3 linked regions of the Rattus norvegicus genome follow. The protein of the gene in region 1 interacts with the protein of each later gene in a biochemical or structural test. Links are inferred from orthologs where the notes say so. Each region holds a gene or a part of one and is shown on either strand. Other genes may lie near its edges. The genes, in order: Ptpn3, Scn5a and Rps6ka1.

Region 1 (4,230 bases):
CCAGAGAATTGGCCCACACACCCACTAGCTGAGCCAGACTGGGGTACCACCAGCACTCCTGCCTGCCAGAGTCTGAGGAGAGGACAAAGGGCCAGGCTTTGCTTTCCAGGAACTGACTGATGTAGGAAGGTGAGCCCTGTAATTACGGTCAAGAGGAGGACCGCAAATCACCGATCCCTTCCCAACACACCGTTCGCCGGGAACTGAAAGGAAGGAGTATACCACGTCTTAGGGCTTCTCCAGCAAGGTACACCCGTTCTAGAAAACAGTGACTCTTGCACTCACAGACTTGTGACGTAGCTTAGACGGCCACAACAAGTTCTCTTACTTCTGGTCTCTGTTTCTGCTAGCTCACATACGTGTGGTGTGTGTTTCGGGGAGGGCACAACACTGTAATTAAACTTCCAGGTCGCAGCCAACAAAAAGCAGAGCAATTAGCATCCTAGGACTGAGATCAACCTACAACCCCGACTTCTTCCTGGGATAAGATCTGTCTATGACCTTGTCTTGCTGGCAGGGAGTTGAGACCTCAACAAACATATTTAAAGCTACCATACCTTTGCTATGAGATCAGGTAAAATAAAGGTTCGAGCTGAGATCTTGGCCCATCACAGATCTGGCCCTGGATTCCAGGTTGTGGTGGAGGGGTCCCTTGGCTTATTCACCAGTCTTGCCTACCCACAGCCCAGCACCAACCAAACAGAAACATTTGCTCACAGACAAGCCTCAGCTATTCTAAATGCCCTCAGTAACCTCCCATCTGCCATTCGTGTCTAATTTGCATGCACTAGTCTTTGGAGGAGACAAATCACCAGGGACGACACAGATCAATACAGAGTATTAGGCATGTTTTATTCTATTCTAATTCTCAGCAGACTGCTATTCCATTAACTGTATGCTGGGATTTATGGGAACGCTCATAGTCTAGGATATTTAACTTGAATGGCCTGCTCTCTGTCAGAAAATAGCTTACCATTGTTAATGCTTCCAGTTTCCAATACAACTTAGATCTTGATTTAATCATCAAGAAAGACATCTGTGTAAGGCCTTTCTACACCACACATGGCAGTCTTATCCAGAAGAAAAAGCTCTGTCCCCCAGAACCAGAAACCTTGGTTTTCCTCCATTCCAGTCATGCCCAGGGCGGTACAGTTGCCTGCTCAGAGCCTCAATGGGCATGACACTAGTCTCAGAGGGAGACCTGTAAAGCTGAAATGAGATAATCCACATACCCAGCACAGCTCCGCAAGGTGAAGTTTCAATGTTATCAAAAAACCCAAACCAAACCAAAACAAACCAAACCAAAAAAAAAAAAAAAAACCCTCCAGACGAAATCCTCATTGCCCGCCCAGGTTACACAGAAAGCAGAGGCTATCTCAGTTGATTCTACTAAAAGGAGGAAGAGTGGGGAGAGGGCAGGGAGGTGGGGAGGCACTTCAAACCCAGACAATATATAGAGGCATTCCTGGTAGGCAGAGTTGGAATCGGGCTGCTACTGAGCACAGTTCGGCACTCTATAATGTTCAAGGGGCACCCACCACAAAGAATGTTCAAACCGGCTGTGAGACGCCAACAGACCCCGATCCAAGAGCATAAGGTTAATAAGCATGAGAGCTTTGCAACACAGGCATCTTTTTCCCAACCAGGTTTTCCAATTCATCCGCTTCAACATTTGCAACACGAATCAGCTTGCAAAAATAGTTCTTTCTGTAAGTGAGGCCAGAGTGACAACTTCTGGAGTTTCTGAACTCAGACTGCCATTAAACAAGAGGCTCTCAGCTCACCAGCGCTAGTCTCAGGAGACGTCTCCTGGGCACAAACACAGACCCAGAAAATGACTGCCTAATTCTACCTTCCTGACGAAATGGGAGCCACGAGGGTCTCTTAACTGAATTAAAATCACATCACGCCAACTGCTCGCTTGCGTTGTGCCGGGCACGGAGCCAAACACCTCCACACCATTTATCCTACTTAATCCACCACCAGCCAGGCGAGGTGGGCAATATTACTGCCTGCGTGCAGGGGAGGAAATGGAGGATCAGAGATGTTAAACGACTCGTCCAAGGTCACCAACTGGCCAAGGGGAAGAGCCCAACTTGAACCTAGGTCTCGCATTTCCCAACCACAAGTTCCCTGTACCTTCACGGAACACTCAGGTGCCAAGTTATCTTAACTTCTCATGAATTTTTTAAAGGCAACTCTCAAGTTCGTAATAAGTTTAGGAAGCAGCAACCCGGGGCGAGGATTTCCGGGGCGCTCTCTCTCCCCGCACAACGCAGCAGAGTCACCGCAAGTTGTCAGAGAAGCCACCCCGCTCGCCCGCGGAACGAGGAGGATTGGTTTGGCACTGGAGTTCGTGCCAGGCCCAGGAAATGCCATCTTTGCAATCTGGGGCGAATTCGCCCTGAGTGGCTGAACCTCGCGGACTACGGGAAGCTGGATCCCCGCAGCCGTGCGCCCCCTCTGCTGGGCTGCGGATACCTCGGCGCCGAGCCCAGGGCTCGGCCAGACTGGAGCTCACGCCCACGCCCGCGCCGCCGCGTCCAGAATGCCCAGCCTTTTGCCGCCCACGCCCCGCCCCAGCCCCGCCAGGTGATCCCGGCCTGCACCCCCCGGATGCCCGACGTGGCGCGGGGACCCAGGGCTGCCAGCACTCCCACTAGTCCTCCCGCGTGTCCGCCGAGCCCCGGACCGGGTGGGGGTGGGGTGAGCCCCGCGTGTCCGCCATCGCGGCAGCCCGCGCTCCGACCCTCCCCGCGGAGGACCCAGTCTCTCATACCTGCAGCATCCGGGGGCGCCGGGCGCCCAGGTAGGTCGCGCGGGCGGGCGGCGCGGAAGCTCGCTCGCGCCGCGACCTGGCCGCTGTCTGAGCATGCCCAGTGCAGCCCGCGGGCGGCTCCCGCCGGCCCGGCTGTGGCCGCGATGGGCCCGCGCGCGGGGCGGGGGACCCGGGACAGGGGCGGGCCCGGGGCAAGCCAGTTCACGGGTGGTTCACGGGCCTCCGCGGACCACCTGCCGAACTCCCGCACACTTCCAAGTCCCCTGGCTCACGCACACGGCCATTCCCTTTAGCATTTACTGAACACCTACTGTGTGCTTGGCTTTCCGGGATTGCATGCCTAGGAATGGCAAGAGCTTGGCGCACAACGAATCTGAAATGACAGCGAGCCTTGCTCGGTGGTTCCGTGGCTGAGTTGGGGGTTGCGCCGACTCCAGCGGCTCCGTGGCTGAGTTGGGAGTCGCGGGGCTCCTTTGCTGGCCCTAGGACGCCAGGAAGGTTAGCCCTTCCCAAAGCCTTCAGGGCCCCTAGTGGCCGGCGTTCCAGCCGGCCTCTTCCGCCTCCTCCCACACCTGCCTTCCTGCGCTCAGACTGCACCTTCCTCCCCATCACACCCTCTGAACTTGACCCGCCTCGAGACGTTTACACTGCCTTTCCCTCCGGGTAGGACGCCTTTTCCTCTGCTTTGCTGGTGCCCTGCGCCCTCTAATCGTTCAGGTACCTTTCGTACCTTTCCAGCTACCTTTCTAAATTAGCCCTGACCTCTTGCTCCTCTCCAAGTCCTTTATCGCCTTCTAAACAGTATCACTCATCCATTCAACAGTTACTTACGTTCTTCACACTTAATATATAGACAAAATTTCAGTCCCTTGTTGGGAGTTTGGAAGGGAGTTTCTCGAAACAAACAACAGGTCCGTAAACAATGCAGTGTATTAGGTGATAAAATTCTTAAGAACAGGGGAAAGGGGCCAGGCAAGAAAGCTAAGGAGTGGCCCGGTGAGAGCTGGTGGAACAACCAGATCAGGTGACAAATAGCATTCAATCACACAGCTGAAGGAGGAAGCTTTCTCGGGACGAAAAGGCCGGTGTAGAAATGAGCGCAAGCTCTGTGCCTGTGAAACAGAAAGGCGAGCAGAGGGGCAGCTGGAGTCTGTTACCGGCTGTCTTCTGGACTTAGATTCCCCCTTAAGGAGTACCACCCTTCAGTGTCAGCTCGGTGGCTCCGCCTCTCAAGAGACCCAGCCTCTAAAGGACGCTAGGCTTCCAGTTAGAACTAAAAACGTTTTGGTGAATGAATATGTTAACAAAAGGATGGAGAGATGGTTAAGACCTGGGTGCTAGATATCCTGAGAACCTTTTGTTCCCATGTCACCATGAGACCCTCCGCCGTGCCTGACGTCCCAGTCCCTGTCCCAAGGTAGCGCACCACTGCCAGCGCTGCTTGAACGCCG
Region 2 (3,644 bases), on another chromosome or scaffold:
GTGATAGAGGACACTATTCTGTGGATGAACTATCCCTTTGCCCTGTACAACAGAACATTCTCTGTAGATACAACAGTCTCCCCATAAGGTGAGGTACCTGCCTCCTTCTAAGTGGGACGCTCTCCTGTGGGTTGTTAGCAAGTGACCTTCCACAGGTGGGACACGCTTTTCTCTGCCTCCAGGCTTTAGGACACTGAGCCCTTGGCCTAGCCACACTGGTGACTTAAAAATACCATGACTTGGGCCCTCAGTGAGGGTGACTTCTGACCCCTTGCTCCTCCAGACCCTGAGGTCCGCAGGAAAGATCTACATGATCTTCTTCATGCTTGTCATCTTTCTGGGCTCCTTCTACCTGGTGAACTTGATCCTGGCTGTGGTGGCCATGGCCTACGAGGAGCAAAACCAAGCCACCATCGCCGAGACGGAAGAGAAGGAGAAGCGCTTCCAGGAGGCCATGGAGATGCTCAAGAAGGAACACGAGGTGAGCTCTCGAGCGGTGGCTGGAGGTGCGGTGCATGCTGGGTAAGACTAGCAGGTGGTGCATTCTGAGTGGAAAGCAGTGCATGCTGGGTAAGACTGGCAGGGGGTGTGTTCTGAGTGGAAGGCGGTGCCTGCTGATCGAGATGGCCCTGTTGGTGTGGTGTGCAATGGGTAAATTTGGTTCCTATGCCACTATGTTTTCTAGGCAAAGATAACACAGAATGGGTGGGGTGCAGGTGACAGTGTCTTGGTAAGCGTGGCCTCTGTGGGCGTAGCCCGTGCCTGGTACAAGATCCTTGTCCATGCGTGTAGCCTGCTCTGGTGGAGGGATACTTCCCGATAGGCTAGTGAGGAAAGTCCAAGGCTGAAGAGGAGCATGGGCCGCCCTGCCCTGGCTCCCACATCCAGGTTCCCTCATGGTAGCTATCAGACTTGGCTACTTACTCTCCCTTCCAGGTTCTTGGTCTTTCTCAAAGCATTGTGGGTCTGCCTGGGATCAACTCTGTGAAGGCCACACTCTGAGTCAATCGTGAAGTCTGATGGGGCAGCTCGCCTAGGTCTGAAGCTAGCCAGAGTTTCTCCATGACCAAACACCCTTTCTCCATCCTTTACCAGGCTCTCACCATCAGGGGTGTGGATACCGTGTCCCATAGCTCTCTGGAGATGTCTCCTTTGGCCCCAGTAACCAACCATGAGAGAAAGAGCAAAAGGAGGAAACGACTATCTTCGGGGACAGAGGATGGTGGGGATGACAGGCTCCCCAAGTCGGACTCAGAAGATGGTCCCAGAGCATTGGTAATCCTGATGTGGTTCTGGCCTCTGCAGAGCCCATCATGGTGGGCCCCGCCCCCCGTGTGGCCACAGCCCTAAGCTTAATCTCCACAAAAGACAGGCTTGGACCCCTCCCATCCCTTTCAGTTTCCTGTAGTCATTCTTAAAGTGGGGGAGAGTTAGGGTGGATTTATGTGTTAATGCTCCTCCTACCTGGAACTAGTCCTCAAGTATGGGGACCAGCACTGGGAGTGGGGGCTTGTGGGGTGGGGTGAAAGGGGCCCAAGTGCTGATCCTAGCTCTCCTGCCCAGCCAAGGCCCCCTCCAGGCCCAGAGCAGCTTCAGAGTCAAACCCAGAGATACAGGGATGAAATGAGCAGAGATCCCACAAGATACAGGGGACACCCCATCTCTTCCTAAGTCCCTACCTCAGCCCTCCCAGGCTCTTGTGGCCAGCAGAAGCCTCGGTGCCCTCAGAACATGAACTGGGCTGACACCAACCATGATAGTTTGGCCGAAGCAGAGTTTGAGCCCTGTGGGTCACGCACCATCCCTGTGCCCTCAGAATCAGCTCAGCCTCACCCATGGGCTCAGCCGGACATCCATGAGGCCCCGCTCGAGCCGAGGGAGCATTTTCACGTTCCGAAGACGGGACCAAGGCTCTGAGGCGGACTTCGCAGATGACGAGAACAGCACTGCGGGGGAGAGTGAGAGCCACCGCACATCGCTGCTGGTACCCTGGCCCCTGCGCCATCCCAGCGCCCAAGGACAGCCCGGCCCTGGAGCCTCAGCTCCCGGTTACGTTCTCAATGGCAAAAGGAACAGCACCGTGGACTGCAATGGGGTGGTTTCCTTGCTGGGGGCAGGTGACGCAGAGGCCACCTCCCCAGGGAGCTACCTTCTCCGCCCTATGGTGCTGGACCGACCCCCAGACACGGTGAGCCAGCCCCCCGGCCTACGAGCACCAGCCCAGATCTGTCTCCCAAACTGGTGATAGGTACCATCCTCAAAACTGCCTGCTGAAGGTTGATCGAGCATCTAGCGTGTGCTCCATTCTCAGAACATCTCTTCCCTTATAGCTTCCGTGCCATCTGGGCAGGCAGACAAGTCAAGAGAAAAAAGGAGAAGACCGAAAGAAAAGTGTCTATGTAAACATGTGTGGTGTAGAAGTGAGGGAAGGAGTCAGGTTTCACACCTGATGCAGAGTCAGTGCCAAGGTGCCACAGTAGAGCAGTGTCCCAGACCCCGTGCGCTGTGTCATGTGCCTTCTGCATCAGCGGGACAGGAACAAGACATCCAGGCAAGCCTGGGACCAGGGCTAGGTCGCAAAGGGGCCCCACAGAGGATTCTAGACAGCACTCACTCAGTGAGTAGGAAACAGTCCACTACTTTACTAACTTGTAACTCCATGCCAGCCAAAATAGTAAGTGCTGGGAGTGGGGAGCAGGAAGAGTAGAGGCATTTAAGCAGCAACCACAAGAAGAGGAGCCGGGGTGGTTTTCTACGTCTGGCAGGGCTGGTGGGTAGAGTGGTTAGTGCCCAAGCTCCGGACATTAGCCTAGGTATGGATTCTAGATCGCAGCGTGACCACTCTTAGCACGTATTTTTGCTCCTCTGGATTTTAAGTGCCTCATCTGTAGAATAGGAGAGAATTACCCAACGTGGCCAGTGTAGGCAGGGCCAAAGACATACAGGAACATAATCGGCACTGTTAAAAATGTCACAGTACCATGCTTTCCATGCCAAAGTGCGCCACACACGGCAAAAGGGCAGACAGCCTGGGGAAGAGCCTGTCTGGCTTATGGCACCGTGAGGGCAGTGAGGCTGGAATGGAGGCAGCCAAATGAGCTGTTGTCAGCAAGGTGGTCACAGTCACGGAAGGTCTTTCGTGGCACACTGGTGACTGCCCGGTCGGCCCCTGCAACTCCTCATACCAGTGCCTGAAAAGCCCGCTCAGGAAAGGCCTGAATGTGTCGCTCACACATACACAGGCAGGATACAACGATGGGGAAACCACAGGACGATGGGATGTTGGTCAGGAAGGTGGAGGGCCCGGTCCACATGGCCACTAGCTGTGGGTCTTTATATGGGTTAATCATCCGAGCCTCAATTTCCTGCAAAGTGGAAATCAGATTTAACACGTACGTCAGCAGGTGGTAGTGGGACCAAGGGAGCTGAAACAGGTCCAGGGCTTAGGCCAGATCTGGCCGCTTGAGCATGTTACTGGTTACCGTTACTGTGTGCTGTTGACACGCGTGAGCAAAGGCTTCTGGGATGCTTCGCCAAGAGTCCAAGCCCTACATAGGGAGTAAGGGGAGGAACTTCAAGACCCCTAAGGGCTGCGGAGACATCTGGGTCCTTCAGGACCGGTCACCTGGAGGGTGGGGTATCTG
Region 3 (3,644 bases), about 75 Mb from region 1:
AAGGACGACTTCCCCCAACCCAGAAAGCAGGGACCATGTCCCTTTGGTGGCTGAAGCGTGAGGTGTGTTTGAAAGTGACTGGATTAGTTACAACCACACAAGGCCCCTGCCACATCTAGTGAGAGAAACATAAGAATCAAAACACAATAAGATGCGTCTTGACGTCTTGATGGGGAGTGCCAGCTTGTGGGAGCCCAGAGGTCCCAGCCTTGCCTGCAGGGTAGGGATGCTTCCCCGAGGCCGTAAAGTCTGAACTTAGTCAACCAAAAACCTGCTAGTGGTCGGAATTTGCTTGGCATCTTTTTTTATCCCCATCCCCAACCAGACATTCCCGAGACTTGTCATCGAAACGCAGGGTAGAGGTAGAGCAGAAGGATCAGACATTCAAGGCCAGTGTTGGCGACATCATGACTTCCAGGCAAGCCTGACCTACATGAGAGCTTGTCTCAAATAATCCTCCCCAGCAACTGGAGGAAAAGGAAGTTAATAAAACAAGGGAAGGAAGGCTGCTTAGACCCCAGAATGGCGTTTTAATATTACACTTAGAAGCTGTTGTGGAGGATCGAAAGAGGCTTGATAAGTGTGTGCTGAAGGGATACAGAGTCAAAGGCCGGGGACCTCAGAAAATTAAGCACCCTGGGGTACACGGTGCTGCAGGGTCTGGTGGTGGGTGAGGCTAGACAACTGAGCAAGACACAAGGACTATGCCTGGACGTCTCCAGGAGACCAAGAGCCACCTGAGGACCCAGAACATTCCAGAAGGAAAGAATTAGCTGAACGTCCCAAGGGTGAGAGCACCCTGGGGGGGCCTTGGAAGGCTGAGGGAAACCTCACCTAGAGGTGGACTTTGGGGAGAGGCTGTGTTGGGTGTGTTCTACTAGTGCCTTCTTTTCTCCTCTGGCCAGTGCGTGACCGTGTTCGGACCAAGATGGAGAGAGACATCCTAGCTGACGTGAACCACCCCTTCGTAGTGAAACTGCACTATGGTGAGACCCCAGACCCTGCCCAAGTGCCACTCGTCCCCTCAACGTCCACCCTCACCTACAGCCTGCTGCCTTCCTTGTCCCTTGTCCAACTTCTCACGGGCCTGGCCAAGGAGCCCAGAGTAGAGGCATTTGTCACAAGCTGACACTGGCCCAGCTGATCCCACATTGGCTTCCTCCTCTCTTAGCCTTCCAGACCGAGGGCAAGCTCTATCTTATTCTGGACTTTCTGCGTGGTGGAGACCTGTTCACACGACTCTCAAAGGAGGTAAGCTAGCATCCCACCGCTGGGGACCTGACAGAGAGTCCCATCCTGGGCCTGTGGGGAACACTGTCATTGTGGTGCGGCCTGGAACTTCCCGGCTCTGTTTGACAGTCGAGAAATGCCACCTGCCTCTGAGAATTTCTCTCAGGATGGGCTGAAGATGAACGGGGTCTAAAGGTGACACTGCTGTGATTTCTAGTTGCCGATCCCTCAAATGCTTGAGATAGACTGTGTGCTGGCCGAGGGGAAGAGGTCCAAACCCACCCAGGAAGCTAAAGACTTTAAGGTCCTTGTCATGTTGTTGATATAAAAAAAAAAAATACAATACAGGCCTCCACCGCCACAGGAAAAAAATACAAAGGGCCCAGTAGAAAAGGATCTGAACGTCATTTCTCAAAACCAAGATCATTAATACAATCCAACCATGGGAGAGAAGCAAGCTTGACCAGGCATTGTGGCACGGGCCTTAAGTTACAGTTATTTGGGAGACTGAGGCAGGTGGATTACAACATGAAGGCCTGCCTGAGTGACTAAAATATATATGGCTGAGATGTCAGTCAGTGGTAGAGAGTTTGTCTAGAATATACCAAGACCTGATTCAGCCTGGGTGTGGGGAAAGGTCACTCTTTCTGAAACAGCACCGACAGCAAACTTTACATGGGGACACACAGACAGACTCGTGGGCACACAGGTGTGCATATAAAGGCCAGAGGACAACTTGTAGGAATTAGATCGCTGCTTCCACCACATGGGCTCAAAGACACGCAGCCAGTCTTTACCCGGGAGTCTCACTTTCTCAGAAACTTACTTTCAATATTTAAAACATTAATGCTCAGCTGGGCGGTGGCGGCAGCCACACCCTTAATCCCAGCACTCGGGAGACAGACCGGGTGATCTCTGAGTTCAAGGCCAGTCTCGTCTACAGAGCAAGTTCTAGGACAGCCAGGGCTCCTCAGAGAAATAATGGTTCATCAGGCAGTCCATTTTCATGATTCAAAAGAAAGATATGCACGGTCAAGTCTTAATCACTACACAGTCCCTCTACCCCCTGGAAGTAAACATTTTTTTAATTAGTTTTTTTTTTAACCTTCTGTAAATAAATCCTACACATGTTCTGAGTCCCTACCCCTACTTTCTTACATGAGAAGTATTCATTCCTGCGCACTGTCCTGTGCCTGGCCTCGGGTGTCAGTGTGTCTCAGATTGTTCTGCATCAGGACAAGAGCAAACTCCTTGTTCTATGTCATGGCTGCAGAGCTGCCCTTCCCCCCTCCCCAACTGCCCCCACACCCCTCCCTCCACCATCCCACTACCCCCTCCCTCCCCACCCCCTCCTGCGCCAGGAGAGGCGGTTTATTCCAGTCTTTTATTCCTGGGTGTTTCCATTCTTTGCTGTTTCCAAACTCCAGCACAGCGAGCGACTCGGGTATTAAAGATATTGACTCTTTATTACAGTCCGTCTATACAATTAGACTGCGTGTTAGAGAAAGATTAGAGGAAGTTGCATTGCCTACGTCCCCCCCCCCCCCCCAAGCACCAAGAGGCTCCACTGCCCAGTAGCCCGGCTCCTCGGGAACAGGGTGTGCCAGTGGATGGGTGTCTTTTTCCCTGTGGCAGGTTATGTTTACAGAGGAGGATGTGAAGTTTTACCTGGCTGAGCTGGCACTGGGCCTGGACCACCTGCACAGCTTGGGCATCATTTACAGAGACCTCAAGCCTGAGAAGTAAGCGAAGCCCCTGCCATACTCCCGCCCTTTCTCCCGGGTGCAGGGACTGACAGCCCTTGGGCCTTTTAGGACTGGGCCACTCACTCAGTGTGTGGCACTCCCCGGGAACTTATCTCTCTTTGGGGCTGTCAGAGGGGTGGGTGGTTGCAGTGGTTGGCCAGCAGCAAATTCACCGTAGATAATTAGGAAGTGCCTGATAAGTGTGGCTATTACTAAAGGCCGCAGGGCAGCTGTGGGCCCCACCCAGACCTCCTTCCTAATACAGTGTGACATCGGACATGCTGCTGTTAAAAGATCGCTTCTATTTTCTTTCTTTTTTCCCTTTTTTGGGGGCAGGGGGTGGTGTTCAAGACTGGGTCTCTCTGTGTAGACCTGGCTGGCCTCAAACTCACCAAGACCAGCCTGCCTCTGCCTCCCGAGTGCCGGGCCTGAAGGCGTGTATTACTACCGCCCACCTCTAAAGATCATTTCTTTTTTTTTTTTTTTTGGTTCTTTTTTTCGGAGCTGGGGACCGAACCCAGGGCCTTGCGCTTCCTAGGTAAGCGCTCTACCACTGAGCTAAATCCCCAGCCCCTAAAGATCATTTCTTGATCTGTTCATTCTGGGGTTGGCCAATGAACTGCCTTCCAGTGCTGTCTGGAGAGCTGGGATAGATCCTGTTGGTAGAGT

Evidence for each region.
Region 2: the proteins of Ptpn3 (region 1) and Scn5a form a complex in vitro, tested with the Homo sapiens proteins (2 studies listed by IntAct, with this or other methods). The link is inferred for Rattus norvegicus from reciprocal best matches to the Homo sapiens genes PTPN3 and SCN5A.
Region 3: the proteins of Ptpn3 (region 1) and Rps6ka1 interact in a test that uses a peptide from one of them, tested with the Homo sapiens proteins (2 studies listed by BioGRID and IntAct). The link is inferred for Rattus norvegicus from reciprocal best matches to the Homo sapiens genes PTPN3 and RPS6KA1.

What each region holds. Positions count from the first base shown.
Region 1 is NC_086023.1:76,818,354-76,822,583, forward strand, and holds the start of Ptpn3 (tyrosine-protein phosphatase non-receptor type 3), read right to left. Parts: upstream 2,869-4,230; 5' UTR 2,780-2,868; exon of another isoform or gene 2,007-2,779; intron 1-2,006.
Region 2 is NC_086026.1:128,147,903-128,151,546, reverse strand, and holds part of Scn5a (sodium channel protein type 5 subunit alpha), read left to right. Parts: intron 1-283; coding exon 284-481; intron 482-1,095; coding exon 1,096-1,275; intron 1,276-1,816; coding exon 1,817-2,188; intron 2,189-3,644. UniProt on the Homo sapiens protein: Pore-forming subunit of Nav1.5, a voltage-gated sodium (Nav) channel that directly mediates the depolarizing phase of action potentials in excitable membranes.
Region 3 is NC_086023.1:151,381,535-151,385,178, reverse strand, and holds part of Rps6ka1 (ribosomal protein S6 kinase alpha-1), read left to right. Parts: intron 1-905; coding exon 906-986; intron 987-1,171; coding exon 1,172-1,251; intron 1,252-2,865; coding exon 2,866-2,972; intron 2,973-3,644. UniProt on the Homo sapiens protein: Serine/threonine-protein kinase that acts downstream of ERK (MAPK1/ERK2 and MAPK3/ERK1) signaling and mediates mitogenic and stress-induced activation of the transcription factors CREB1, ETV1/ER81 and NR4A1/NUR77, regulates translation through RPS6 and EIF4B phosphorylation, and mediates cellular proliferation, survival, and differentiation by modulating mTOR signaling and repressing pro-apoptotic function of BAD and DAPK1.